4 separate regions of the Mus musculus genome follow, and all the other regions are reported to be linked to region 3. The links are microRNA targets in miRTarBase. Many come from high-throughput screens and were not tested one by one. Region 3 holds a microRNA gene; each other region holds the end of a gene's coding sequence.
What was found. Region 3 holds the annotated microRNA mmu-miR-324-3p (CCACUGCCCCAGGUGCUGCU, at 3,615-3,634, opposite strand). A microRNA usually pairs through its seed, bases 2 to 8, with sites in the 3' UTR of a target mRNA and lowers its output. Matches are read on the target gene's strand: a 7mer-m8 pairs with bases 2 to 8, a 7mer-A1 pairs with bases 2 to 7 and ends in A, and an 8mer does both.

Region 1 (7,117 bases), not on the chromosome of region 3:
TCCAAAAGCCAGTGCATCGAGGGCATCAGCCGGCTGATCTGCACAGCTAAGCACCAACAGAACATGCTTCGGGGTGAGCATGGGCCAGGGGGCTGCTCCACAGGGTGCTGGGGACTCAGTCCATGACCTAGGTCCTGTTTGCTTCTGTTTGTAAACTGAATGCAGAGCGGAACTGATGGCTGGCCTTTCAAACCCTCAGGGCAAGCAGTTGTTTTGCTCTGATGGCTTATTTACAGAGCCACTCTTGGAGCACATTTGGATAAGGTGCCTCCATGCAGCTAACGGCCTTTCAAGTTCAAGGAATGGTTCAACCCTTTCTGTTTTTATTGGTAGAGATTTGGGAAGGATTGCTAGAGATTGAACCAAGGGTCTCCTGTGTGCTAGGCAAATGCTCTACCATATTGCTCTATCCCAGCCCTCCTTCCACTTAAAGATTGATTCATGTATCTTAAGTATCTTACAGAGGCTATTCTGTAAGCAGTGCATTCAGAGCACAGGGCTTTTGGGTCCCTGTGAGTCCCAGTTCCTTGGGTGGTCTTCCTAAGGCTACCTCTGGAAATACAGCTATTTTAAGTAAGTTGGACCTTGTGAGGTGGATGTGACTTAAATGGGCCATGCCTGGCTGAGGTGTGGCTCAGATTGCCCTTGCCAGACCCCTTGGGAGGTGGACCCACCATTGCACTAAGTCCTGGAAGGGCAGGTGGTGGGAAGGGCTTGTTAAGCAGGGCTTCCTCCAGCTTCAGGATTACCCTGCTTCCTGGCAGCACCCCACCATCTCAGGTGGTTGCCTTGCCAGGCAGGCAGATGGTCAGGTGGCCCTCTCCCACAGTCCTCATCGACGGCGTGGAATGCAGCGATGTCAAGTTCTTCCAGCTGGCTGCCCAGTGGTCTTCTCACGTGAAGCACTTCCCCATCTGCATCTTTGGACACTCCAAAGCCACCTTCTAGCCCCACCCACGGAAGGGCTGACACTGGACAGTGACTCTGTGCCAGCCATTGATGGAGGGACAGCTGTATTTCTGTTAACACGTGGTTACTACAGAGACAGACTCTTAAAAACACAAAGAAACAGTCTTAAGTATGAATGTGCTCATAGCCCAGCTAGCTCCCTGTGGGCCACTGAGTAACTTTGCTCGGCTTACTAACCAGAATATGTGGGCAAGTGGAAAGGCTGGTAAGAAAGGAGGTGAACTCTGGTCCCATGAAAGCCCAGACCACAAGCAAGAAATGTTCTTGCCTTTGTATCCTGCCCTTTGCTGACGTCAGGATTCTGCTTCCTCAGGGAGTAGGGAGCACGGGGAGCTTTGGAGTTTAGTGGCCAGAAGCTAAAGGTCAAGGGCATGTTTGCTCTCCTAGCATGAGATGTCAGTCCCTGGCACCCCATGCGTGGTTCCCAATAAACTCCAGCCTCATGGCGGAGGTTTTATAGTAGCAGATCTTTCTAATGCTCTCAAATACATTTGACAACGTAGCTGCCAAGCAGATGTTGCTCTTGTGAAGTCCCCTTGCTGGGGCAGAGCCAGCAGGAGCTGCATCCCTACCCTACCCCTGTGGCTCCCATTCCACGGGCACCTTTAGGCTTCTGCTGCTCAGATCGGGTGGTCCTTTCATATGTTCCAGTGTCCGTCCTGGAAATGGGAGACACTTCTGGGGTCTGTCTGAGCCCTTCCCTCTATTCTGCTTGCTGGACAGGATCATCCAGGATTGGCCATGTGGGATCTGAGCTGAGAATTGAGGTTGTAAACTGGAAACAGGCATCTAGAGGTTGTGTGTGTGTGCCATGTGGGATCTGAGCTGAGAATTGAGGTTGTAAACTGGAAACAGGCATCTAGAGGTTGTGTGTGTGTGTGTGTGTGTGTGTGTGTGTGTGTGTGTGTGTGTGTGTGTGTGTGTGTGTGAGAGAGAGAGAGAGAGAGATTTGTTTGTAGCCCGTGAAGGCTCCAGCATGCTGGTCTGACTACAAAGGCCACCTCCCTTACAGGACTAGGTCTAGCCAAGCCAAGCTCCTCATAGCCACCTGGATCTGGTTCTTGGTGGCAGCTCCACCATTTTCCCATCCAACTTGAAAGGGTTGTGCTGGTGTCCGACAGCTCAGGTCATCCTGGCTGTACACGCTCCACCAGACTCATGAAGGGGTCACTGCCTCAGTCCTAATTTTCTTAAGAATCCTTTCTCCCCGAGGTATCTAATTAGAAGAGTTCCTGTCACCCTGGAAGCTAGGGCTCTCTCGGGGGCTCTGGTGGTCCATTGGGAAGCATGGTGTCTGAAGAATGGTGTCTCGACCTTGAGACCTTCCTAAGAGTATGTTGAGAAAATTGTCGAGAGCAGGACAGGCTGAGTTTGAGGACTGCTCGCCCTTCCTGGGGTGAAAGATGGCAGGTTTTTATTTACTTACCTCCCTTATTGACTTGCTGAACAGGGTCTATTTGTCCTGGATAATAGGTCCCCAGGTCCCTGGGTCCAGGGCTTCTTAGTGGAACTCCTGGTGAGGTATTCTCTGAAAAGATCTTGTGCTGAGTCAGGCCACTGTAATCCTTGGAGCCTAAGAGCCTAGTTTACCTGCCCCTTGTGTTTTTTCCCAAAAGTCAACCTTCATATGAAACATTTGACCTAGATTTCTAGCCTTGAGGCCACAGGGGTTCAAGCTCTTGCCTGAGGGCAGCCCTTTTCCAGAACCTTCCCCTGTACATACGTGCTCCTTCCTTGACTGGTTCCAGGGGTCTGACTTTACACACACAAGAGGAAGGTGTAGGCAGCGTCTTTGTCCCACAGCTGGCCCAGGGTGGAGTCAGGAAAGCCTAGCACCTGAGCACCATACACCTTCCCCCCAACCCCCACCATGGCAGTGCTAGGTGCAGACCTAGACAGCAGTCCTTCCTCCCTGTGCCTCACTCCCCCAGTGGTTAGAGAGATGGTCCATTTTCCTTGCCTACCTCATGGAGCTGTAATGAGAAGTCATGGAGAAGCACTTTGTCCCTTTGAAGGATGACACCAAAGCCCCCCTGACAGGCAGTGCAGTGGTACGAACCGCAGAGTGTGTTTGCATCCGAAGCTCTGAGGCATCACCCTCAGAGCCTGCCAGTCTTAGAGGTCCCTGTCAAGCAACACCAGTTGCCATTGCTCATTGCTGTCAGTTGGGGGCCCTGCCTCTACCTTCAAGTTGGTTCCTGCCACCACCCTCTGAGTACGCAGCTCAGTATCACTGTAAAGGTACCAGTGCTGGGAGGTGGGGGTGGGGAGGCGTGGGGAGGCGGGAGGCTCAGCCCTGAAGCAATGGCTTGCCCTAGCCTTATCCTGCAAGCCTCACTTCTTCCTCTAGCCTCCATCTCAAATGAATTCCGCATAAAAACGTCCTGGCACTTCTCCCCAGGGCCAGGGTACTTGCTCCCTAAATCCCTGTGCCCTTCAGAGACTGCTCTGTCCTGGAAGGGGGCCAGCAGAAGCTGACAGCCTTGCGTGAGGATGACTCCGTTCGCTTCTGCAGACTGCCCAGCGCGCTGTGACTGATTTCTAGAGTGTGTATGTTGCTAGTTTTGTTTTTGTTTTTTTAATAAAAAGCAGGATTCATGTAAATAGCTTTTTTTGGGAGCAGATACTGATCTGTCCCATGCGACCATGTGGACGATTTCAAGGTGCTGAAGCGACACTAATAAACTGACGGCGCTCAGGCCGCCCACTGCTGTGATTTCTCTGAATGTGTTGGGGCCATGCGGCTTGAACGCTGGGGCGCACGCGTGGAGGGGGCGGAAGCGGCCGCGGAGGGCGGGGTCTGTAGGACGGAAGCTCCGTCCCTCTTCCCTAGAGCTCTGTCCTTGGATCCAGCTTTCTCAGGCTGGTGCTGAAGGTCCTAAGTCAGCCTCACCAGCCAGCTCTGTTTACCTGGACCCACATGAGCGTTCACAGGCCACACGACCCTCCACTCCCTGTGCAGACCCTTCTGAGCCTGGGCTCACCGGCTGATCCATTGTCAACCGGAGCTCATTAAGCCCCCCTCATCTGTCCCGGAGCCTACAGAGCCCTTCCCAGAGCCCTCTGGGCGAGCTCTGCATCCGCGTGGGAGCGGGTGACCCAACTCCCACATACCTTCACTGCTGCCCTTAACTGACTTCCACAGTTCATACCCACGGAGAGGGTGGGAAATGAGAGCTCAGGTTGGCGCTGAGCCTGGGCCTTGTGTGGTAGGGTTGTCCAAGACAGGAGGAGGCCTATTGAGGGTGGGATCCTAGGACTGAAGAGCTTGTCAGGACCGCAGAAGGAGCGCCCCCTGCGAGGAAAAGCAGACCAGGTGGTTCGGTGAGAGCAGAGAAGGCTAGGCTAGCATCTATTTCTAGGCTACTGCTGTCCCTGGGGGGATGCTGGTGCGGAGGATAATGGCCACAAGACCTGGGAGAGAAAGTCACAAGGGACCCCGCTACTCGGCAAGAGTAGTCACTAGGTAGAAGGCGGCCCCAGCAGGGCCTGCCATCATCTGCTTTAGGGATCTGCCGTGGCAGCAGGAACCCTGCTCAGTTCCCTTCCTGCACCTTGCCCCACAGCCCTAGTCGAGGGAACTGCAACCTGCTGTACTTAGAGATGGACAGCAGGCAACAGCGCCCCCAGAGGAAGACGCTACAGTGGCAGCTTGCTCAAGAGCAAAGACAACAGTCACCCCCACAGGGGCTTGCCGTGGCCTCCAGCCAGCCAGACACCAAGAGCAAGCCTCAGGACGACTTGCAGACCCAAGACTGGGTAAGCAGTTAGGAGAGTCTTCCGAGAACCCAGGCTTTTAGGTGGACTGGTTGGAAAGGGACACCGAGAATGGGCCTCTGGGACAAGAGGAAAGGACTGAATGGGACTGGAGGAAACATTTAGTTTTTAGGGCTTGCTTCTCCAACTACTCAGGCTAGGCTCGGAGGTAGACTTCCTCTGGTGGACACCAGGCAGAGAGAGGTCGCCTAAGGTCAGAAGGAGTGTGCCACACATACCCACATCAGCTCGTGCAGTGTCCCTGACCCCTGCTTTGAGGTCCCTCCAAAGGTGACAACTGTCCTGCAGGGCTGACCAGTAGCCCCTTCCGCTTTCATAAGGCAGGGCATTCTAGATGGTAAAGATGCTAACGTGTCATCTCTTGGGAGAGGCTTGCTTATGAATAGGCACAGATGTATGGATTTTATATTGGTGACATAATGGTGAAGAATCAGAGCTCTATGGTTGAAGGGACACCAGACTCCTGGTTGGGGACAAAGTCACTTCAGTGTCTGCCACACCTTGACTTCATTTGGAATTGACTCCCATTTCAAGTTCCTGTGCCTCCTCCCTCCACAGTTTCCAAGCCCTGCTAGTGACTCTGTCCTTGAGGGATGTCCAGGCTGCCTTCCCTAACCTTGTCCTGAGTCACTTCTCTCCTTTCGTGTCCCCTCAGTATGGATTGTGCTTCCTCAGCCAGGTCTGTCTCCTGTTTCCTCCCACAGAGATCCTGGCCTAGCTAACATCAGTTCCTTGTTCCTCCCTTCCCAGCCTGAGCCTTAGAGAAACTTTCTTTGCAACGTAACTTGTCTTCAGCCCGCAGTAACACTCATGCTACCTCATAGAATGCAGTAACCTTGGCCTGAGGCGAGAGTTGGAGAAAACTGTCCTAGCAGAAGGTCTTTAGATGGCCAGTTTAGCCACTGTACAGTACTTTCTGATAGTCTGGCCAGCATGCTCTGAACACTGGAGAGAAGCAGGCAGGAGGCTTGGGATGGCTCTAGGCTGAACCCCACTAGGGACCTTCCTCACCCTCCCCGGCCTGCCAAGGAGCACAGACATGCAAAACCAGCCTCATGTGGAGAGCCTGTGATTGTCCTCGTCAGTCCGAAAGAATCTTCTGGAATTTTACACAGTACAGTGTCCAGAAGTTGGTAGGCTCAGGAGCCACAACAGCAGATAGGAGCATCGAGGGAAGACAGTCCTCACCCTTTATGACAGCAGTGAGACTTAGGAAATATGCAAAATCTGCTCAAGATGAACTTTTTTTTTTGGGGGGGGTTTTCGAGACAGGGTTTCTCTGTGTAGCCCTGGCTGTCCTGGAACTCACTTTGTAGACCAGGCTGGCCTCAAACTCAGAAATCCGCCTGCTTCTGCCTCCCGAGTACTGGGATTAAAGGTGTGCGCCACCACGACCGGCTCAAGATGAACTTTTTACCACCAGCTCCTGAAGAGAACCGAAAAGGCTTGAATGATAAGAGAGAGATGCTGGGTTCCTGGAGAGCGATGTGAGATTAGGTGGGTGCTTTCCGAGGCATTTCACAGCTCAGCATGTACGTAAAACCATTACATGTTGCAAGGCATGGCAGTGTACAGCTTCCTAGCATGTGGGAAGCAGAGGCAGGAAGATTCTGTGAGTTCAAGGCCAGCCTGGTGTACATAGAGATTTCCAGGCCAGCCAGAGTTACCCTGTTTCAAAACAATAACAACAAAACAAAGCAAAAATAAAGACAATTAAAAAAATAAGCCGGGCCAGGCATGGTGGTGCACGCCTTTAATCCCAGCACTCAGGAGGCAGAGACAGGTGGATTTCTGAGTTCGAGGCCAGCCTGGTCTACAAAGTGAGTTCCAGGACAGCCAGAGCTACACAGAGAAACCCTGTCTCAAAAAAAAAAAAAAAAAAAAAAAAAAAAAAAAAAAAAGCAAGCCGGATGTCTCTCTTGTCTTAAAGCTAAGCCCATATGGAAAAATAAGAGTAGCTGGGCTAGCTTCAGCCTGGGAGATGGGAATTCATAGTGTAAGCCTTTGCCATTGTCAAGAAAAGAAGCTTAAATAGCCAGATAGGGGGGAAAAAAAAACAGTTGATATTGGAACAATATAATGTCTGCCTAGAAAATCCACAAAACAGCTAAAACTATAAAAGAGAAAGATTGGTTATATGACTGTTGTAACTTAGGTGTCTCAATACACTAAACCAGGAAATATGAAAAGATTCCATTCACTTTAGCAACAGAAATTATGAGGTCCTTCTAATTATGTGTTGCCTTTTACGAGGAACACGGAAAGTTCTGCTAGTTACAAACATGAAGTTCTCCTGTGGAAGCAGATCTCATCACTGGGTGGACGCGTGTAATGTTTTTAACCTGCCAGTTTGCCCTAAAATAATTAAGTG
Region 2 (7,117 bases), not on the chromosome of region 3:
TGCAGATACACTCACTCTGCCACCATGTAAGACTTCCTGCTGCCCTCACTGCCTACCCCTTAGTATAATTTATTTATTTACTTTCTATCTTAACCACTGAGCCATCCCCCTAGCCCCCTTATTATTTTTAAAGATGTTCTATTCTTTTCTAACAAATTTATTTTATTATGTATGTATGTATGTATGTATGTATGTATGTATGAGTGCTTTGCCTGCATGTATGTCTGCTCACCATATGCATGCCTGTTATCTCAGGAAATGGTAAGCCTCAACGTAGGTGCTGAAGATCGAACCCATATCCTTTGCAAGAACAAATGCTCTTAATCACTGAACCAAGCCCCTTGTTTCCTATTCCTAACCCCATGTTTGCAGTGTCTCCAATGCTCTCACCCTGGTAGTGTTAGATAGAATCAAGTAGTAACCCTTGCGACTGGCTGCAGTAGCCTGTGGAAACCAGTCTCCTTTTTCCCACCCAGATTCTTGTTTTGCCGGCAGACAAGCGGGATGCTTTAGTAATGTGGGGTTACTGACCTAAACAGGAGAAACAGGAAAAACTGGTCCAAACGAGCTAGTAACAGCTCTGATCTGAACTCTGGGTAGCATGGGGAAGTGAGCTGGACTGTCAAGATGTTACAGGTCTTTCAGGTTTCCAGAGTAGCAGGTCTGTGAGCCGTGGGCCTGAGGGCTGCAAAGGCATTCCTGTCTACAGCTGAAGTGTATATAGTCTTGGGGGCTGAGACCAAATGAGTTTCCCCGCTGCGGCCACCACTGGCCTGCGACAGGAGCCTTACATTTCCATTGGCTTTGTAAATGTGCTTCGTTTGGATTCCCGAAGGGCTGCTGGTCTTGAACATATTTTCACAAGCAGCAAAAAGGCCTTTGGTAAACTGGACATTGAACTTTTGTTTTTATGACTCTGAGAGAGGAACCCTTTGTCCGCTGTGTGGTTTGCAGGCTCTCAGTTTGATATCAATTTACTAGCTTATACTGTGAATGGAGTTTGATGTAATAGGCAAAACTACTTTGCTTAGCCCTAGAGAAGGGCTAAGATAATGTCTACCCATCTTCCTGAAGTTTTATGTTAATCTTTAAGTCTGTGATCCACTCTGTGTTAACTGCAGCATAAAGTGTGGAATGCGATTGTGAGTAAAGTTAATTATAATTGTGTAGACTGATTTCTGGGCTTTTAAAAACATTTTTTCAGCGCTGGGCGTGGTGGCACACACCTTTGATCCCAGCACTCGGGAGGCAGAGGCCAGCCTGGTCTACAGAGTGAGTTCCAGGACAGCCAGGGCTATACAGAGAAACCCTGTCTCGAAAAACCAAAAGAAAAAAGAAAAAACAAAAACCATCTTTTCAAGCTGAGCGAGGAGGAGGCTCACACTTTTAATCCCAGCATTCTAGAGGCAGAGACAAAGTGGATCTCTGAATTCAAGGCCAGCCTGGTCTACAGACTGAGTTCCAGGACAGCCACACTACACAGTGAGACTAAAGACAAACATTTGTGTTTCTGACTGTGCATACGTCTGTGCACCATGTACCTGTGGAGGCCTAATGAAGAGAGCAGTATAGCCTTTATATCCCCGACCCAACCCCTCCCCTGCTCCAGACTGGAGTTCCATTGAATGATGTGGTTGCTGGGAATCAAACCTGGGCCTTCTGTAAGAGCAGCCTGTACTCTTAAAGACTGAGCTCTCTCTCTAGTCCCAATGTATGCATTCTTTTTATTCTGTAATATTTTCGCCATGTTGTCTTTTTACATCCGTGCGTGTGTGTTCACACGTGGTATGCGTGCGTGCGTGTGTGTGTGTGTGTGTGTGTGTGTGTGTGTGTGTGTGTGCGTGGTGCACCATGATACAATGTGGAGCTCAGATGACAACTCGCAGAAAGTTCTCTCCTTCCACTGAGTCACAGGTCATCAAGTGTCACTTGCTGAGACATGGTTCTGATATTTTCCAACCTATTTCAGAAAAGGCTAAAAACTTTCCTGAAATTTGGGTAAGTTGACTCCAACACACCTTCCATTCATCCAGATGTGAGTTTTTGTGTACAGCTACACTTGCCTGTACCCTAGGTTTTACAACTTCCAGCATATCTTAGATTTTTCTTTACGATGACAAATTTACGTGTGTGCACCTGTGAGTGTATACCATGTGTGGTGCCCGTCCGTAGGGGCCAGAGGCACGGGATCCTCTGAAGCTCCACTTACTGGCAGTTATGGAGTCACCTGATTTGGAGCTTGGGAATCCAATTCTAATCCTCTGGAAGAGGGTGACACTTTCACCGGCTGAGCCATCTTTACAGGCCCAAATTTTTACTGACTGGCTAGAAATAGCATTGTTTGTTTATACTCTGTATATAGCTCTATTTGCATATATGCCTGCATGACAGAAGAGGGCATCGGATTCTATTACAGATGGTTGTAAGCCCTCCACGTGGTTGCTGGGAAATCAACTCAAGACCTTTGAAAGAGCAGTCTAGTGCTCTTTAACTGCTGAGCCATCTCTCCAACCCCTAGAAATATTGCTTTTAAATTATATTCTCACGTGTCTAGGTTAATGTTAGCAAGTCAGTCAGCTGAGTGCTCAGCGTGCTGGAAGCACTGCACAGAGCATGCTGCAGTGCCTGTAACTCAAGCACTTGGGAGGGGAAGGTGGAAAGATCAACCTCTGCTATTAAGTTGCAGGCTGGTTTAGGACACATGCTATGCTGTTTCATATATTTATTGCTAGCTTTTCTTTTGTGTTTGTTTTTTCGAGACAGGGTTTTTCTGTGTAGCCCTGGCTGTCCTGGAACTCACTCTGTAGACCAGTTTGGCCTTGAACTCAGAAATCCGAGTGCCTCTGCCTCCCAAGTGCTGGGATTACAGGCATTCGACACCACTGCCTGGCCTACTTGCTAGCTTCTAAAAACCCATTTCCTCATTTTGGATTTTTATTGCTCTAGAGTCTGGGAACTCAGCTGCTGCAACACATAATCTACCATGTCCCGGTACACTGCAAGGGTGTGCAGCTGCAGCCAAAGCAAATACATGACACACAGCCTTCATGATCAACTCTAGAGATTTACAGCATAGGTCCGAGCAAGGCCCAGTTAGACTATCAGAGCCCTTATCCCATGATACTGCCTAGTGGACTTCCTCACTTCTAAAACACCTCAGCTGATTCTGCCTACACATACACACATACACACACACACACTCTCTCTCTCAATGATTCAGACTCCATGAAAAGCACTTGACCAGAGCTCTGGTTAGTGGCATCACACAAGGTACTGCTCTGCAGAATCGTGCTGTTTGGCATGCTCACTCCTGAAGCCCTGTACCCAATGCCACCATGGAGATAAATGAAGCCCCACTGGGGCAGGGAACAGAGGCATGGAGTGCACAGGTCTACCTCAGGTTGTGGCCTGGCCAATCATGCTGCTGAACCCAGAGTTGTCCAATGTCTAATGGAGTTCTCGAGGTTTCCCCTTTTGGAGAAACGCAGTTGGACTGCACCTTGACCCATTATGTTGGGGATGAGGCCCAGTGCTTGGCATGAGCTAGGGTAGCACACCCCACCATTGAGCTGCACACAGCCCACTCCCTCAGAAGTTCAGTGTTATGGCCTGTGTGAGGGGACGTGCCTCTAACTCCAGCACTTTGGAGACAGAAGACGGTTCATCCTCAACTACAGATTTGAATCTGAGGCCTGGGCTACATGAGATCACCTCAAAATGCCAAGAACAACCTAGAAGTTCGGATGACCAGGTGTCCTCCTCACATTTGTTCGATGGAATCTTGTAACTTGCCAACACAACCCATTTCCACTCAAGGCAGGTGTTTCTGGTCAGTTCATGGCTTGCCACCCCACTGAGCATGACCAGTCTCCACGTCCCCATTCCCCACTTCTCATGGAAAGAACACAGAGAGCAGCCAGAGGCAGCTTGGGCAGCACTCGTATACATCATACATTTATTAGTGAATATCCCTCTGAAATCAGCAACAATATTAAAAAAAATAATGATTGCACTACTTGGTCAAGCAGAACTAGCAACTTTCATTTTAAAAAAAGTACAAATCTGTTAAAAATTTCAATCAGTATACACATATATAATACAACATACTAGTTATGTTAAATGCTACAAACCAATGTGAGTCCAATGGGATGGAAAAAACCACACATTTAAGCTTTAAGAACCATTTGTCTCTATATATTAGCATTTTCTCAAATACATACATGGGAAAAATGAGGTAACTGTAAGATGTGCAAGGAACAGGGCCCCCAAATCACATGTGTTTATATATATATATATATGTGTGTGTGTGTTTAGTTAGATATATATATATAAAACTTTTCTAACACAGAACACAGGCGCTGGGCCCAGCAGTGCTGGGGGAAGGTGCCCACTGTCATGCCTAGGCCAGAAGTTGGTAAATAAAGAGTAAACAATGCCAAGCCCCCACCACAGGAAATCATTGGTAACATGGCATCTACAGCAAGGTCGGCAAATCACAAACATCCTAAGTAATTGTTTCATAAATCTTTTTTAAATGATTAAAAACAAACAAACAAAAAAGGTGTATTTCCCCCTAGTAGCTGCTTGCTGGAATCATCACTGCAGCCGACACAGTCCATGAGCCAATTCTGCTGCCCCAGGAACCACAAGGGTTTGAAAACCTTTTTTGGGGTGAGGAAGGGATGGGGGTTGGAGAAGGTGGTTCTCTGTGTAAAACACGTGGATTTTCAACACTGCTATAAATATAGAAACATCACCTGGAGTTATATACAGTAAGACTTTGGGTTCTTGTGGGGTGGGACCAGGCCAATGGGGCCTGGCAGGCTGGGGTGGGGGCAGGGCTGCGGTGAGAACGAGGGTGGTTGGAGCATCCCTGAGGCAGCAGGCGCCAATGGCTGCCTGCTAGGATGTGCCGGCCCCACACGCGGTTCGTTCACTCCAGGCAGCGCAGCAACCCCAGTTGGCGGTAGGAAAGGAAAGGAGTGGGACCTGAAAGGAGGGTAAGGAACACAGCCTCCTCCAGACCTTGGAGGGCAGGAATCAGGCCGGGAGGGGCCCCCTGAGGTGGAGGTTCATGTCCTCCCTGACCCCTGTCCTCACAGGATTGCTAGGAGACTCACCCAGGCAGGTGGGACACAGGCCCTGGCTGGAGAGGAGATGCCCTGAAAAGCAGACGGTCCCGGTAGGCTCTAGGGACATGTGCAGTACAGTGCATGGCAGTTATCAGCTGAGCACAGACCCCCCCAAACTCCGCCCTGTGACTTCCAGCCACCCAGATAAAGTTCCAGCCGCACACACTCATGTGGAGGCCTGGTGTGGCAGAACCGGACCCTACTCTGCCCCCTGGGCATTTGGTCCCGGTTGGTCCCTATGCCCCCACTCCTATTAAACCAAAGAGAAAACAAGATAATAAAAAACTAAACACCTCTTAAATATCCACACCCCCTACACGCAATTTTGGGCCAAATGAATAAACAAAAACTGCTGTTCCTCACATTCATGCAAAAAGACAGAGGGGGAGGATCGAGCATGGGTCTGACACTGTCACTGGTGGAGGGGCAGCCACCAGGAACACAAGAACATGCCCAGATCGCTCGAGGCTACTGCAGAACACAATGTATCCAGCTTGGAGCCCTGGCCCATTTGCTCATGGAGCCTGGCTGGGATACTCTCCAGCCTGGGGGTGGGCTGGAACGCTGTGCCTGGGGTAAGGGTCCTGGGGAGTCAGACCCACACCACACAGCAGTGGAGGCAGAGCTGACTGCCTATGTCTGTCTGGAACCAAACAGGAGAACTCAGGAAATGGTCTCTGGCTACTCCCTGCCCACACACCTGGCAACCCCACTAGGGCAGGGAAGGACACGTCATTTCAGTACAGGAGACCAGTTGACCCAGGGTGGCTATTCCTTTGTCCGTCTGGGGTCTGGGGAAATCACACCAGCCACCACACTTGGGGAATGGACTCCTGCCTCCCAGAGCCAGCAGGAAGAAGGACCCAGGGGCAGATAAGAAGCAGACTGAGTTGGGGAAACTCAGGCAGCTCCGTGGCGGGCAGGCAGGCAGGCAGGCAGACTGGGGAAGGAGTCTTTGGAGCTTGGCAATGCAGGGGCTTATTGCAGGGGCTTCTCCAGACTGACCCTGGCACCAGCTCTGGAGTGGCAGGTGGGAACGCTGACAGGCCTGGCCCCGCCCTCACAGTCCTCCCCGGGCCACGCCCTGCTCCCCCCCACCCAATTCCGGAGCTTTGGGCAGGGATCTCGTGGGTGGCTGTGGAGCCTCACTCGGCCTCCCTGGGCACCTCGGAGGCATCCGCCCGGCAAATGGGACAGGTCCGGTTGGCCTGGGAGAACACCCACACATCAGACCCCATTGCGTGACCTCCCCTCCCCCACCTATCTGACTTGGAGAAAATCTCCACTCCTGCCCCTAGAGACACCCAGGAGCCGGCTCAGGCCACCTTACCTTCAACCACTTGTCAACACACTTGGCATGGAACTCGTGGTTGCAGGGGAGGACTCGGAGCAGTTGCCGCACCTCGAAGTCACTGAAGCAGACCACACACCTGAGGAGGGGCACAGTGTCAGCACAGTGACAGCTGAGGCAGCGGAGGGCCCTCCCTGGGCTTCCAGGGTGACACTCACAGAGTCTGCTCAGACTGATGGCTGTCAGGGTTAAAGCGATACGACGGCAGTTGTTCGATGTCTGCTTTGGTGAGGCCCCGGGGCTTGGCGTCTCCCAGCCGCTCAGCCAGGTTCAGGAGAGCCTACAACCAGGCAAGGGAGGTCAGCAGCGCCTGAGGTTATAGGTTTACCACCTCACCCCTTCCTGGCCCAGCCCAGCCCGGGCTCCACAGACCTCATAGTTCTCCATCTCTACGTCATCCACGTCCAGGTCCAAGCTGATGGTGGGGCCCACGGTGGTCGGTGACATTGGCAGCATTGAACTAGACAGGGAGGGAGGCCCAGAATGCAGGTCAGTGGAGGCAGAACAAAGTGACCCTCACTCCTCCATGTACACAGTTCATACTCAGGATCTGGGGCTACCAGAACTGTGGAGGCCCCCAGAGAACAAGGCCTAATGGCACTAGGGCAGTTATGCTGGCACTTACAGGAAGTAG
Region 3 (7,117 bases):
TATAATCCAGGTCTCTGCATCTGATATTTTCCTTTCTCTCTTTTAACTTTAGCTAGGAAGTCCTCCCTCCAGTCTACCTCCAACCTTCTAGTCATTTAATTCTTCCTTCTCTTATCTAATCTCTTCCCTTTTTAGTGGATCAGACTTTAGTTTAGACCAGCGGCTCTATAGAGTTTGGGAAAGAAAACGGATCGTTTGAAGATGGATCACCCTAGGTCAGGTAGAATACAGGGACCGGGCACACGTCGGAACTTCAGCTCCCACCATGCATCGAGGCCCAAGACCACGCCCCCACCACGCAGTGCATTGTGGAGCATGAGTCAGGGCCCAGACACACAACCTTTGGGCAGGCGAGACGCGAAGAGAAGAGGTCAGTGGTCAAGACTTCGGCGGCGGCTTTGGAGATGCAGTCGGCTCGGATGACCCCGAGTGTGGGGCGACAGCTGCTGCGGCTGGGGGCCCGAAGGTCCGTATATAGCAAGGGGACACTGGGTCTGGGAACCAGGGCAGAACTGAACCCCGACTCCTTACAGCTCGCGATCTACTACTGTGCTTCAGGGACAACCCCGGCCTATCTCTGCCCAGCGACTTTATGCCAGGGAGGCCACTCAGGTAAGTGACAGTGGATGAGGGAGACGGACGTAGAAATGCGAGTTGCCAGTTCCCACTAGCCTGCGACCGACAGGGGTCTCTCTCTTCGACCCAGTCACCTGGTGGCAGTTCTGTCACTGAAAGTAGGGGAAAGGGCACGCCAGGGTGCCCTAGTGAGAAAGTAATGGAACATGCACCAAACGCACTTCCTAGAGCTAGCGCTTCCTGCACACCTTTTAAGACCCATCTCCAGCCTAACTGCTCTGCCCTTCCCTCCAGGCAGTTCTGGACAAGCCAGAAACCCTCTCCTCTGATGCTTCCACCAGAGAAAAACCAGCCAGGGCAGTAAGTGACTGGAAACTGGACTGACACTTAAAAACCAGGAGTAGAATCACCCCAGGCACCCACCTAAGATCCTTTCCTTCCTTGCCTAGGAATCGAAGTCCTTTGCTGTGGGGATGTTCAAAGGCCAGCTTACCATTGATCAGGTGTTCCCATACCCATCTGGTAAGTAAAGGCTTAGTCAGTCACTGACAGTGTGGGCAGGGGAGCCCTCTCTGCCTGACTAGCCTGCTCTTCTCTCCCATTATACAGTGCTCAGTGAAGAACAGGCACAATTTCTCAAAGAGCTGGTGGGACCAGTGGCCCGGTTCTTTGAGGTAAGGGATGACCAGAGCTCAGCCCCTCCTGGGCTAAGTAAGATGCTAAGGAGCTTAAAGGAGCCTCTGAATATGAGATTCTTCCTATTCCTTGCTCAGGAAGTGAATGACCCTGCCAAGAACGACGCCTTGGAGAAGGTGGAGGACGACACTTTGCAGGGACTCAAGGAACTGGGGGCATTTGGCCTGCAAGTACCCAGCGAGCTGGGTGGTTTGGGCCTCTCTAATACCCAGGTGAGAGGATCCCCCTGGTTAACATTCCACAGTGCTCCAGTTTTGGTAGACTCACCACTAGGGCCAAGCAAGTAGCCAGAGTAGTGTCTACCTGCCTGCCCTTTTTCTCACACATTTTCCCCTGAAACATGATCTGTGTGCAGCCCACTAGGACCGTGGACCTAACTGTGGTTCCCAGGTCTTTGGGGACTGTGTGAGGCAACACAGCAGGCAACCTTCCCATCAAGACCAAGGGCAGCTGGGCACAGTGGCACTCATCTTTAATCCCAGCATGGAGGATGGAGGCAGAGGCGGGCGGATCTCGAGTTCAAGGCCAGCATGGTCTACAGAGGGAGTTTCAGGACAGTCAGGGAAACCCACAAAGTTTCAGGCTAGCTGGAGCTACAAAATGAAACTGCCTCAAAAGGGGGGGGGGGGATTATCTAAGCCCTTTGATGTTCCTGCTCCTGTCTCCTTAGGAAAGACTCCAGGGTTTCATGCTAGAGAAGCAGCCTACCTGGGAGCCCCATGGCCAGCCTCCCTGTGCCCTGTCCAAACCCACTCCACTCCCCATGCTCAGAGTAGAGATGCTCCAAGCCCCAGGCCAGGTCTGCCCTGCTGCCCATTCTTGTTGAGGACAAGTTCAGTGCAGCCAGCTACAATCCCAGATGCCTCCTTTCCCTCCAGTATGCTCGCTTGGCAGAGATTGTGGGCATGCATGACCTTGGTGTTAGCGTTACCCTGGGAGCTCATCAGAGCATCGGTTTCAAAGGCATCTTGCTCTATGGCACAAAGGCCCAGAGAGAAAAATACCTTCCCAGAGTGGCATCTGGTAAGGCAACCTTAAGAGACCCAGGGGTAAGGAGTGTGACACTGCTCACGGTGTTACAAGGAACTGCCTGGGGATGAGGGGGTGCAACTCTGGTGGTCAGGATCCCCAGTGAGCCCGTTCTCTCCCCCACAGGGCAGGCTTTGGCTGCTTTCTGCCTAACAGAGCCCTCGAGTGGATCCGATGTAGCCTCCATCCGAAGCTCAGCCATACCCAGCCCCTGTGGAAAATATTACACTCTCAATGGGAGCAAGATCTGGATCAGGCAATCTTCCGTTTCTCTTCTACCCTTCAGCCCAGTGGCCTGACCCTGCTGCTCTAAACCCTATACTAACCACCTCACTCTTCCACAGTAATGGGGGCCTGGCTGACATTTTCACTGTCTTTGCCAAGACGCCAATTAAAGATGCAGCCACGGGGGCCGTGAAAGAGAAGATCACAGCTTTTGTAGTGGAAAGGAGCTTCGGAGGGGTTACCCAGTGAGTATGGGGCAAAACAGAATCAAGGATGGGGACAGCACTGGGCTCTCAAGAGCAAATAGTCAATACAGGCCACGCTGGGGCTATCTCTGTACAAGAGGCACCCACAGGAGGTGAGCAGTTTTGTTTCCACTGGGGGAACACAGGCTAACAGGCCATAGCTAGATATCCGTAGCCCCTGGGGCACATAGGCAGTGCCCTGTATCCTTTTTATAGTCTGGGGAGTTCTCCCCTGATCATGAGACCCGAAAAGGCCGTTTTCCCCCACAGCAACCTGTTCATACCTCAACTTTCCTGCCCTGCCTTTTCAGTGGGCTCCCTGAAAAGAAGATGGGCATCAAAGCATCTAACACGTCAGAGGTGTACTTTGATGGAGTGAAGGTGCCATCAGAGAATGTGCTAGGAGAGGTGGGAGATGGCTTCAAGGTTGCTGTCAACATCCTCAACAACGGAAGATTCGGGATGGCTGCAACCCTCGCAGGCACCATGAAATCCCTCATTGCCAAGGCGGTGAGTCCCAGCCCAGTCCCTAGCTAGCACATGTCCCTGACTGCCTCAGAGCGCCGACACACACACATGCACACTCGACCATCGGCACAGTTAGGCCTCCAGCCCGTCCAGGTGGAAACTGAAGAACCACAGTGGGGTAACATGCGCCCTCTTGCAGGTTGATCATGCTACTAATCGTACCCAGTTTGGGGACAAAATTCACAACTTTGGGGTGATCCAGGAAAAGCTGGCTCGGATGGCTATTCTGCAGTATGTGACTGAGGTAAGGGCCTCCTGGGCCCCTTCCCTGGAGCCCTATGGCTTTCTTCACAGTTGGGTCAGACTACAACCCCCAGCAGCACCTGGGGCAGTGGGTCTCCAGCTTTACACCAATGCCCTAGGGGATGCGAGGAGGCATAGTCAGTTCTCTTCTGGAGGGTGGTGCTGCTCTGCTAAATGCTGCCCAGATGCACCAAACACGACTTTTAACCCACCCCTTTACAAAGTCGGAAGCCTCGAAGCCCCTGATATACCAGAGGGTCACATATTGGACATATTTGACCTGACCAGGAGGCTAAAGTGAATTCAAGGGTTGGAGGAGTAGATCAGCACTGGTCTTGAAGGTCTGAGCATTAGCCATTCTGTCTGATGCAGCCCTTCCCTGTTGTCTTCCCCATGTCCCGACCATGCTCCCTTAGTCCATGGCTTACATGCTGAGTGCCAACATGGACCAGGGATTCAAAGACTTCCAGATAGAAGCCGCCATCAGCAAAATCTTTTGCTCGGTGAGGACCCAGGTGTGATGGGAGGGCGGAGTCCAGATTAGGACCTCAGCTCAAAAATCCAACTCATCTGGTTCTCTGTCCTCAGGAGGCGGCCTGGAAAGTGGCAGATGAGTGCATCCAAATAATGGGGGGCATGGGCTTCATGAAGGTACAGAGTATTCCTCGGCAGGGGGGGGCATCTGTTCAGAGTGGACAGGCACATCTCAACAGAGGTTTCTGTGTCTTCCTGCGTGCCAGGAACCAGGGGTGGAGCGTGTGCTCCGAGATATTCGAATCTTCCGGATCTTTGAAGGGGCAAATGACATTCTTCGACTGTTTGTGGCTCTGCAAGGCTGTATGGTAAGAGGAAGGAGGATGAGAGAGAGCAGCTGGGGAGGACACTGAGTCCTCACTGTCGCCGTCCCCCTTCTCTCCACAGGACAAAGGAAAGGAACTCACTGGGCTGGGCAATGCCCTGAAGAATCCTTTTGGAAACGTTGGCCTCCTGATGGGAGAAGCAGGCAAACAGCTGAGACGGTACCTCATGGGCCGGGGCCAGGGTCAGAGTCAGGGTCAAACAAGATGGGAGGCCGCAACTGACCAGTCACTCTTCCATCTCCTCTCAGGAGGACAGGAATCGGCAGTGGTTTGAGTCTGTCAGGGATTGTCCACCCAGAGTTAAGTCGCAGTGGTGAACTGGTGAGTGAGCCTTAAAGCAGAGCCTGCGGTGGCTGTGCGCTGCCTTCCTCTCCTGAGCTCTGTCTGTGACTCTTGTCTCTTCAGGCAGTGCAGGCTCTGGATCAATTTGCCACCGTGGTGGAGGCCAAGCTGGTGAAACACAAGAAAGGGATTGTCAGTGAGTGAGCTCTGCAACCCCCTTCCCTCCCTGATTCCCTCCCTCCGACTAACAGCCCCACCCTCATCTACCTGACAGACGAGCAGTTCCTGCTGCAGCGACTGGCGGACGGCGCCATTGACCTCTATGCCATGGTGGTGGTTCTGTCCAGGTAAGGCGGCAGCGAGGGACGCTTGGCAGGCTAGAGCCACAGAGGAGCTGGGCCAACACCAGCACTCAGGATCATTTTAACCTCTGTTTCCTCACAGAGCCTCAAGGTCCCTGAGTGAGGGCTACCCGACGGCACAGCATGAGAAAATGCTCTGTGATAGCTGGTGCATTGAGGTGAGCCTTGGAGCTCCCCAGTACAGGTGGGCCTTGGAGCTCCCCAGTACAGGACGGCCTGACCGTCCCTCCCCTTCCCTCTCCCCAGGCTGCAACTCGGATCCGAGAAAACATGGCCAGTCTGCAGTCCAGCCCTCAGCATCAGGAGCTCTTCCGGAACTTCAGAAGCATCTCCAAGGCCATGGTGGAGAATGGTGGCCTGGTCACCGGTAACCCCCTGGGAATCTGAGACTCCCAATCAGGCCCTGGCAAGGTCATGTGCCTTCTCTGATGCCAAAACCCTTTATGGGGGTGATGGAGTACTTATTGCCTTAACAATAAATTTTCTACCAAGTCACTGTCTGCCGTGAATGTCACTGCTCCCTCCTCTCCACTGCCTGCCTCGCAAAGAAAGGAGCCAGAGGCTTGGGGAGTTGGCCTCTATTTGCTTTATTTGGTGTTTTGTACAAGTGACTAAAATAAATAGAGTAACAAAGGCAGCTACACAGTCCCCAACACACCACCAGCCTCCTTGGACTGCTGTCTGGGGTACCCAGCCCACACCTTCTTCTTCCCAGGGTACCACTGACCACCACCCACCCTCAACATGAGAGCTGACTAGGCACCTGGAGGTGGCGGTCATATTCTGGGGTTAGAAGGGATTCTCCATATAAAAGAGGAACTGTCTATTTAAAAAAATACTCCCCCAAATATAAGAAAGTCTATTTTAACCCCCCAAAAAGCTTATAAAAAATAAAGCTAAAAATAACCAAAGGTCCCCATCTACCCCCGAGGAAGAGGGGGAAGGACCAGGCACTGCTGGTGAGAGTCACAGTGGCAAAAACGTTTTGGTAGGCACCAGCCGCCAGGCTGAGCCCAGGCACTATGAAGGGCACCAGGCTGAAACTTGCCAGGCCAAGGGCACAGACCCAATGTGGCCTCAAGATGGGTCCCTACATAACATCCACAAAAAACTCACTGGGGTTGCCCATGGCCATGTGGAAGCTCTGACGGCTAGCTGTCAGTTCTGGGGGCACGGAGCCCAGGTCTCTGACTGGAGGGGCACCAGGGGGCTGCACTGCTGTGGAGACAGGGGGTGGGGGTGGAGGCATCATAACTACCATCATGGGGTTATAGGGGAGAGCCATGCCAGATGGGGCTCCATAGGGATGGAGCCCGGGAAGAGCTCGGAGATTAGGAGGAGCGCCTGTCGAGCCCCTGGATGGAGGAGGGCCGCCATCACCAGTCCCACCAGGCTCCCCACCCCGCCGAAGGCTGCCTCCCCGGCTGGAGAGTTCTGACTCACTGCCACTGCCGGACTTGGACTCAGGGGCCCGTTCCTCAGGCCTGCCTGTGCGCCCAGCCCCCCCATCGCTTCTTGTCGACCCGCTGCTCCGGCTCCCTGTTGGAGGGCAGAGGTGACGAGGAAAATGAAGCTCAGCCCAGAGTCCTCAGGATCCCAGTCCCTGCTCTTGCCTCTCCTCCCCGAATCCGCTCTACTTGTGCCCACTTTCTCTGGCTGTACTGGTACGTGGGAGTGGGTCACTTACCCTCACTGTGCTGGCTGCTGGCACTGCCTCCACCATAGGTGTACGAAGAAAGCTCGTGGTAGGGTGGAGGCTGGGGGCTGTAGGGGTGTGGCGCTGGATACTGGTAGGAGAAGGTGGGCAGCAGGGGCCAGGGAGTAGCTCCAGGCAGAGGTGCCAGGGTATCCTGGTCTGAAGCCCCACTGGAACCGTCATTGTCATTCAGAGAGAGGTTAACTAGGTCTGGAAAAAAATGGAAGAGAGGTCCCTGCTTTAGGAGGCCAGGATTCCTGAGAACAGAGAAACCTGAGCCATTTCCCCAGAGCTCCCCACGAGACAAAAGCCAGAGACCATGATGGCTTACAACAGGAAACTCTGCTGCTCTGGCAGAGAAACAGCCAGGACTCT
Region 4 (7,117 bases), not on the chromosome of region 3:
GTGAACCAGTACAGGCCAACTCAAAACATTTGAAAAGTCATTTCTTAAAGCGATGTCACAGTTTGTTTTCACTGATTTAAAAGCAAACATCTAAAAATGGTATATTTTGAATTTATGCCCCTCAGAGTTAGATGCCTCTTAAGTAATAAACCCAGTTTGTGTCTGACAGTATTTTAATAACTGCTCTCCAGGGGATCCCTATGTGTGTTAGACCCTGACTGTGGGACTCCAGAGCCGCAACCGTGCTAAAGGAGGACCATAGCCCACTTTGGTCACGTGAGCAGGAAGGATCCTCACACAACTAGACTCCCTATGTTCAAGCACCACTTTACTGGACTATGGAGGATCTAAAAGACAGCCAACTTTTCAAAGTTTTCAGTGTGCATACACTGTTCAACTATATAGAAGGACTTCTATATATGGATGTAGTGACGACAGTCATTAATAGATATTACTTTGCTAGCATTTCCCCAAATGGGCAACAGAGGCAACATGTGCCCTTGGTTCTGTCTTACTGGCCTTTTTGACTGTGTTGGGGAAACGAATGTATAAAAAGTGCCCATGAATCAGAGAAGGCAACAAGTGACACTATGTGACCAGAGCTAAAAGGAGTTAGCTTTTAATGTTCTTTTCTTAAATGAATTCAGAGCAGGAGGGAAGTGCAGGGACATTCAGGTTCACCCTCCATCACCATCGTGATGCACAATGGATCCCAATGATCTGTCAGTGGGGAGTCACTAGAGGGTAGGGTAGTGACTGCCCCAAACAAGAGCAAGTTCTCCAACGACAAGAAAATGATGCAATAAATTAAATAAATCACCAACTACACAATGTAGAAATCTAAATACACAGCCATTTTATTTAGGAGACCCAGAGAACTGCTTTGGGAACAAGTGTTCCTTGCAGCCTCTCCTAAGTCCTGTAAATACTTACTATTATGATTGTCTCTTGGTTCAGCACCTCAGTGTTTGCTGGTGGTGTTGATGGAATCTCAATAGTCTCCACAAACTATATATAGCTATAACTTACTTCACTAGGACATTTTCCTGGGAAAACCCAGGCGTCTTAAAAAATATTGTTGAATACTCAAATCTTTCACAAATTATTATTTCAGAAAAAAAACCAAGGAATGTAGTGTGGTATGACAACGGAAAAAATATGCAAAACAGTCACATGGAAAAAAAGATTTTTAATTTTTAAATATATAAGTTTGCTTAATTTCTGATGAGCTGTTCAACACTGTTTTAAATATCCTGAATTAGTAACTATGCCAACAAATTTACCTCCAGTGTTTCCACAGGAGACATTAAAATAAGACCAAATTATAGTTTTCTTCAACCAAAGCAGTCTTTTCTCAGTCCTTTTTGTGCAAAAATATTACAAGAGCAACTCAAATGGGAACGCTGAAATGACATGCCAACATTTCAGGGCACATTTAAAACACTCAATAATTCTTGAAGTTACTGTATCCTAAAATATTACTACCAACCGTTTATAGATTAGTTCTGTATATCTACTCAGACAGATGCATATTCCTAGACCTCTGAAAATAAACAGGCTCATTGGTCTCTTTTGGTGTCCACACAATAGGCAAGATAGGTTTACAATAGTGTTTAAATCAAACTACACATCTACAATCTCCTGACTCCACCACATTCAAAACAAAAGTCAGAGTTTATTTGGCTACCTTGAAATCATTCCCATAAACCTGCTACGGTTCACTGGACCTGAACATTTCTCAGAAATGTGTCGTTTATCATTTCACCTAAGTGATGATTAGGGATCCTTTAAAAACGGTTAATGCCTAAGATACAAACTTTATCTAAATGAATAATTGCAATAAAGTGCTTATTACCTTTCAAAATGATGCTCTTAAACTGTGGTATGTTGTTCTAAGTGTGTGCTATTCCTCCCATAAGGATCCCCAGGCATGAGAGTCTGATCTCACCTGTCTCAGAAAGCAGCAGCACTATCTTTTGGTAGGTAGGCTGACAGTAGGCACATTACCCATGCGGATGAGGCTGGACTAGGGCTACGGCAGAAGGGGAGGGAATTAGAAAAGTGGGAGGCATGTGGAGGGTTCCTACTACACTCATAGTTATATACAAATATATTAAATATGCTATAAAAATAGTCAACTCTTTTCCTTTGCATTTACTTGAGAAGCTCCTCTTAGAAGAGTGTTCACTCAATCCAGACAAACTTAGAAGGTCTCTTTATGCAATCACTATGAAAATGGCAAGTGCCGTTGTGCTGTTTCTTCACCACTGAGAAGTTCCAGTCAGCTCACACCTGGCTATGCACCCTCAGCAATATTAATATCCAGTGTTTACACTTTCCATTGTGGACTCTGGTACTAAGAACAGGACCACAAGTACTGGAAAGATGATAGGCTTGAACAACTTTTACACAAATGTCTACCAACAAACCTTTAATCACCAAAGAAACAAAAAAAGAAATACTAAAAATCCTATCTGTGTTCCACTTTAAAAAACTGCCTCAACATAGTGGAAACATTTTAAACACAGTAATATCCAAGTGAAAAGAATCTACCTGTGTAGACTAAGGGTCCTTTCTAAGGCTTGAACAAGGCTCATCTCCCTCAACGTGATGCCCATATATGGTTGGACTGCTTCAGTGCTCCCAACTTCCAAGAGACTGCTTTAAGGCAATGACCAACTACTATACAGCACACAGAATTCAAACACTTGCTAGTTAGCCTAGAGTTTGCTATCACAACTATTCAAAAGCACGGGCATTCTTTTATTAGTGCTACATCCCTAAGCCATGTCTATGTGACAGCAGAACACAGCACTCTAAATGCTACCCTGAGGATAGAGCTTGGGGAATGGTCTTGGTGCTCATGTGCAAGCAAGCCCACCTACCACAGTTGCTTTCCTCTCACAGTCTCGTCTCTAAGGAAGGAAAGAGGACTTGATATTTTCAATATTGAGGCTCTGGTTTAACGCCAGCCTCAAGGGCAGCTTTGTGTTTACTGTTCTAATCCTGTGTGTTCAGCAACCCCAAGTCACCCCATACAGAAGCAGTCCAGAGCAAGGTACCTGCAGGGCAATGAGAACCTGTTTGACCTTCATCCTAACAATTTCTTAATTAAAAGGCGCTGCCCAGAATCAAAAATTTCAAAGAAAATCAAATCCATGAAATACAGCAAGAGAAGTTAAGGTTTCTAAGAAGCTGAGAAGTGTTTCTTTTTGGTATCTTTTCATGATTTAGATTTGGGGTTTCAGTCAGCTTTGGCTACAGAAATGAACAGGCAAAAGATGAACTTTCTTCAGAATACTGGAGTCGTGTGGGGAGCAGACAAAGACAGTTTGCCATCCAAAGGAACCAAGAATTAAGGAGCTAAGAGGCAGCTAGTGCTGACAACTGTTGCCCAGCATGCATCTCCGTGTGGACAGCAGCCTTAGCAGCTAGAGTTTCTTATCAACTGCTACTTTTAAGCAGGGAGATGAACTGTGAAGAACAGCAGGCATTACATAACTAGCATGTTGTATCTCCTGTAGCTAAATTCTTATCGCTATGTGATGCAAAAAGATAAACGAGGCACAGCTCCGACTCCGAGGACATGGAATGGCCAAAGAGAAGAAGGCAATGTGGAAGGGAGAAAAGCAATGTGGGTGCTCGACTTACATTGATTTCGTCACGTGTGCACAAACTTGCATAAATGTGTATTCTCACAACTATTTCTGGTATTCGTATGAATGTCAGCTAGAAGAACTCTGTGATATGTGAGTTACTGACTGGTATCTAGACACACTTCTTATGCAGAAGAGTAGGTACCAATTTTCTTTGGTTGTTTTCTTTTTATCACTAACTTGCTAACTTAATTGCAGTCAGGTAAACAGGAAAACAAAGACACACTTACTGATGATGAGAGCAAAGCTAGAGACAGATAGCTGACTCCGAGTTCCCCAAGCCCTGATCTAGCAACTCTGCCTTAGGTTATCTGCACTGCTGAAACCAGTTTAGCACCTCACCATCACATACTTTCCTTTTAAGGTCAATTCTAATGTGCCACACTTATCCTCCCTTTTCTCAGTAATACTTGATATTCTATATCCTACTGATCTTTTGTTCTTTAATTGAAAAACTCATTATTAGTACCATAAAATCTAAAAAAATGCCTTTTAAAATGTATGTAGCTTTGTTGGAGTTTATTACCTGTAGAGAATGATATTGCCAAATGAAATCTTAATGTTTAAAAAGCATGTGAGTTACATTATTCTAGTGCTGCAATGAAAATTAAAGACAACTTGTCCCTTGTCTCTGAGCAAGTATTTACTGGTAATTCCTAAAAGAGTTACTTAGCTTTAGAGGAAGATGCAAACAGGAAACGATTTTGGGATCCCATTCCCAGCTGTGACGCTGTCAGGCAGCCCAAGAGACGCAGCAGTCCTCATGGGGACTTGAGAATGACACTGCTGCTAAAAATGTACTAAGGTTTCAAAACTGCTACTGAAACCAGACAATGAATTCAAGATGGTGAGTTATCACCTGAATTAAAATCAAGGCACTATGGGTTTTTTCCCCTCAAATAACCCTGAATCATTTCTGACTAAAAGAAGCATTGAAATTTTTAAAGATAATAAAAAGATTCCAACAAATCCTAAAAGTTAAAATTCCCACCTCTGAGAATGTTAAAAAAGTGCCTAAAATGTTTTGTGTGCAAACTTTACTCTTACAACTGAAACATTCTTGAAATTACTTTCAGGCTTGTTGAAAACCATTTACATAAATATTCCAACTATGAAATATATCAAAATATGTGATTAAACTCTCAACCAACCATCTAAAATAATAAAGCAGTGCAATTCTCTCAAACATAATTGAAAAATAATGAAATAAGGGATATTTCTGAGTAAGTGGAAATGTAGCAATAATTTAACCTTAAAAAAAATCCATTCCCAGCAGCACATTGTTACCTCACTGAACAAACTGTGACATCACAGCCAAAGCACGGACAAAAAGACTTGTGCCCTGGAAAAGTAACGAGAACACTACTGTGTTGTAAACAAAATGAAAAAAGAGAGGTTGTTATCAGTTTGTACATGGTGTCAAACCTAATGAAATGCACTCATACCTGTGAGGGACAGATAATGCTTTCTGTATCAAAGTGGCTTTCTCTCCTCCATCCAGACACAGAGACACTACAGCATCTGTACACAGTGAATTCAAACCTGCACAACATTCTCAAAGTCATCACGGTTCCATCATTGTCTGAACAGGGAGAGGAGTTTGGGGTGGGGACTATTAACTACTGGACTATCTTCATGGCATTCTAAGCAAACCCCTGGCAGTGGTGTGCCCTCTGTAATATTTGATGCAGGCACAGACCCACTAAAGCTACCAACACTGTTAGTGCTCTTCGGATTCAGTAAAGATCTGGTTGATAGCTGAGCTTGTTAGCATTTGGCAATATACTCTTTCTATCAAAAAATACCTGGGCAAAGAAACTGTCAGAATTGGCTGTGTCCCTATGACCATTTCCCACTGGCTGGTATTTAATGGACATCTGAAGCACTGGGCAGCACTTCCCTACCGTCTCATCAAGGGACTGAACACTCAAGACCACCCTCGTGAAACTGTTCAACTTCTGACCGCATGCCAACTGAGCGATTCTTTCTGGCCATCCCCTTCCTCTCGCATGTCAGAGAGGAAGTGTGTGTGCTACTGTGGCTGGACCTTGGAAGGGTCAGTCAGGCTGTCAGTCCTGTGCCGAGGAAGCTGCTGTTGCTGCTGAGGCTGGTGTTGCTGGTGGTGCGAAGGAGGGAAAGTGCTCTGTTGTAGTGGAAAGGCAGCAGAGAGGATGAGCTGTGTCGAAGGATTCCCGTGGAGCAACCTAGATGTCTAAAAACAAAAAGGATGATGCAGTCTGGCTTCCTGCCTTCACACTCGTCAGTTCACACTGCCCACAGCCCACAGACACAGGGCTTTAAACTCTCATTCTGTTTGCTAATCTAAAAACTATTTTTGGAAAACAAAAACCTTGCCTTCTTTCTGAACACGTAAGATTTGACTTTTTTGAGGAATTCTTGATGGGAATTTCATGGTACAAAGTATAATCTGTCTTGAGACAAGCCACATATTTTTATTTCCTACAGGCCCAAATTCTAAGCAGTAAACTAGAGCACAGCTGTGTCTGGATAGGACACGAACACTGCCTGGTCAGACTGACAGTGCACACAAGTCTGCCTGTTGGTAAAGAATCAATTGTACTCCCAGTGTGAGAGATAGAGACAGGATTTCCGAGGCTCACCAGCCAACCAACCTAACCTAGTGAATAAACCACGGTCTCATGAGACCCTTGTAGAGGGCATTTGCTACTTTGTGGGTTCTTCTTTCTTCCACCCTTCTCCACTTTTTCCACCCTTTCAATGCCCTAACACTAGAGAGAAAAGGATAGAAAAGAAAGGAATATCCCTGGATAAAGTCAGGGAATAGAAGGCAATGTTATTAGACCACTTTGTGCTAATTAGGGGTGCTGGGTTCCTTAGGGCAAGTTTGATCTTCACCATCAGGATAGCTAATTTCTTCTTTCTTCTTTTTTTTTTTTTTTTTCCTTTTTTTTTTTTCCCCATTTTTTATTAGGTATTTCGCTCATTTACATTTGCAATGCTATACCAAAAGTCCCCCATAGCCACCCACCCCCTCTCCCCTACCCACCCACTCCCCTTTTATGGCCCTGGCGTTCCCCTGTACTGGGGCATATAAAGTTTGCGTGTCCAATGGGCCTCTCTTTCCAGTGATGGCCGACTAGGCCATCTTTTGATGCATATGCAGCTAGAGTCAAGAGCTCCGGGGTACTGGTTAGTTCATAATGTTGTTCCACCTATAGGGTTGCAGATCCCTTTAGCTTCTTTGGTACTTTCTCTAGCTCCTTCATTGGGGGCCATGTGATCCATCCAATAGCCGACCGTGAGCATCCACTTCTATGTTTGCTAGGCCCAGGCATACTCTGACAAGAGACAGCTATATCAGGGTCCTTTCATCATAATCTTGCTAGTGTATGCAATGGTGTCAGCATTTGGAAGCTGATTATGGGATGGATCCCCGGATATGCTAGTGTCTACATGGTCCATCCTTTTATCTCAGCTCC

Region 1: the mRNA of Pacs2 is a reported target of mmu-miR-324-3p. Seed matches in the 3' UTR shown: 7mer-m8 at 2,842-2,848 and 7mer-m8 at 3,009-3,015.
Region 2: the mRNA of Rnf44 is a reported target of mmu-miR-324-3p. Seed matches in the 3' UTR shown: 7mer-A1 at 4,597-4,603.
Region 4: miRTarBase lists Clock as a target of mmu-miR-324-3p. The part of its 3' UTR that is shown has no 7-base or 8-base seed match.

The regions. Positions count from the first base shown.
Region 1 is chr12:113,070,709-113,077,825 of GRCm38, forward strand. Pacs2 (phosphofurin acidic cluster sorting protein 2) reads left to right here. Exons shown (of 24, transcript NM_001081170.1): 23 at 1-73; 24 at 830-3,693. The coding sequence ends at 948. Tex22 (testis expressed gene 22) reads left to right here and starts at 3,794. Exons shown (of 3, transcript NM_001361919.1): 1 at 3,794-4,151; 2 at 4,536-4,728. The coding sequence starts at 4,573.
Region 2 is chr13:54,675,472-54,682,588 of GRCm38, forward strand. It overlaps Rnf44 (ring finger protein 44), which reads right to left. Exons shown (of 11, transcript NM_001146026.1): 7 at 7,109-7,117; 8 at 6,856-6,943; 9 at 6,642-6,763; 10 at 6,463-6,562; 11 at 3,928-6,340. The coding sequence ends at 6,278. Among named protein-coding and RNA genes, the nearest start is that of Rnf44, 8.8 kb to the right of the region's middle.
Region 3 is chr11:70,008,612-70,015,728 of GRCm38, reverse strand. It overlaps Mir324 (microRNA 324), which reads right to left and starts at 3,686; the gene lies at 3,598-3,686. It overlaps Dvl2 (dishevelled segment polarity protein 2), which reads right to left. Exons shown (of 15, transcript NM_007888.4): 14 at 6,734-6,952; 15 at 5,620-6,585. The coding sequence ends at 6,137. Acadvl (acyl-Coenzyme A dehydrogenase, very long chain) reads left to right here and starts at 301. Exons shown (of 20, transcript NM_017366.3): 1 at 301-466; 2 at 534-612; 3 at 871-936; 4 at 1,026-1,098; 5 at 1,186-1,250; 6 at 1,350-1,484; 7 at 2,151-2,295; 8 at 2,428-2,557; 9 at 2,646-2,771; 10 at 3,083-3,281; 11 at 3,439-3,543; 12 at 3,959-4,045; 13 at 4,131-4,193; 14 at 4,283-4,384; 6 more. The coding sequence starts at 405. The coding sequence ends at 5,433.
Region 4 is chr5:76,211,011-76,218,127 of GRCm38, forward strand. Clock (circadian locomotor output cycles kaput) reads right to left here. Exons shown (of 23, transcript NM_001289826.1): 23 at 1-5,868. The coding sequence ends at 5,689. Among named protein-coding and RNA genes, the nearest start is that of Tmem165, 31 kb to the left of the region's middle.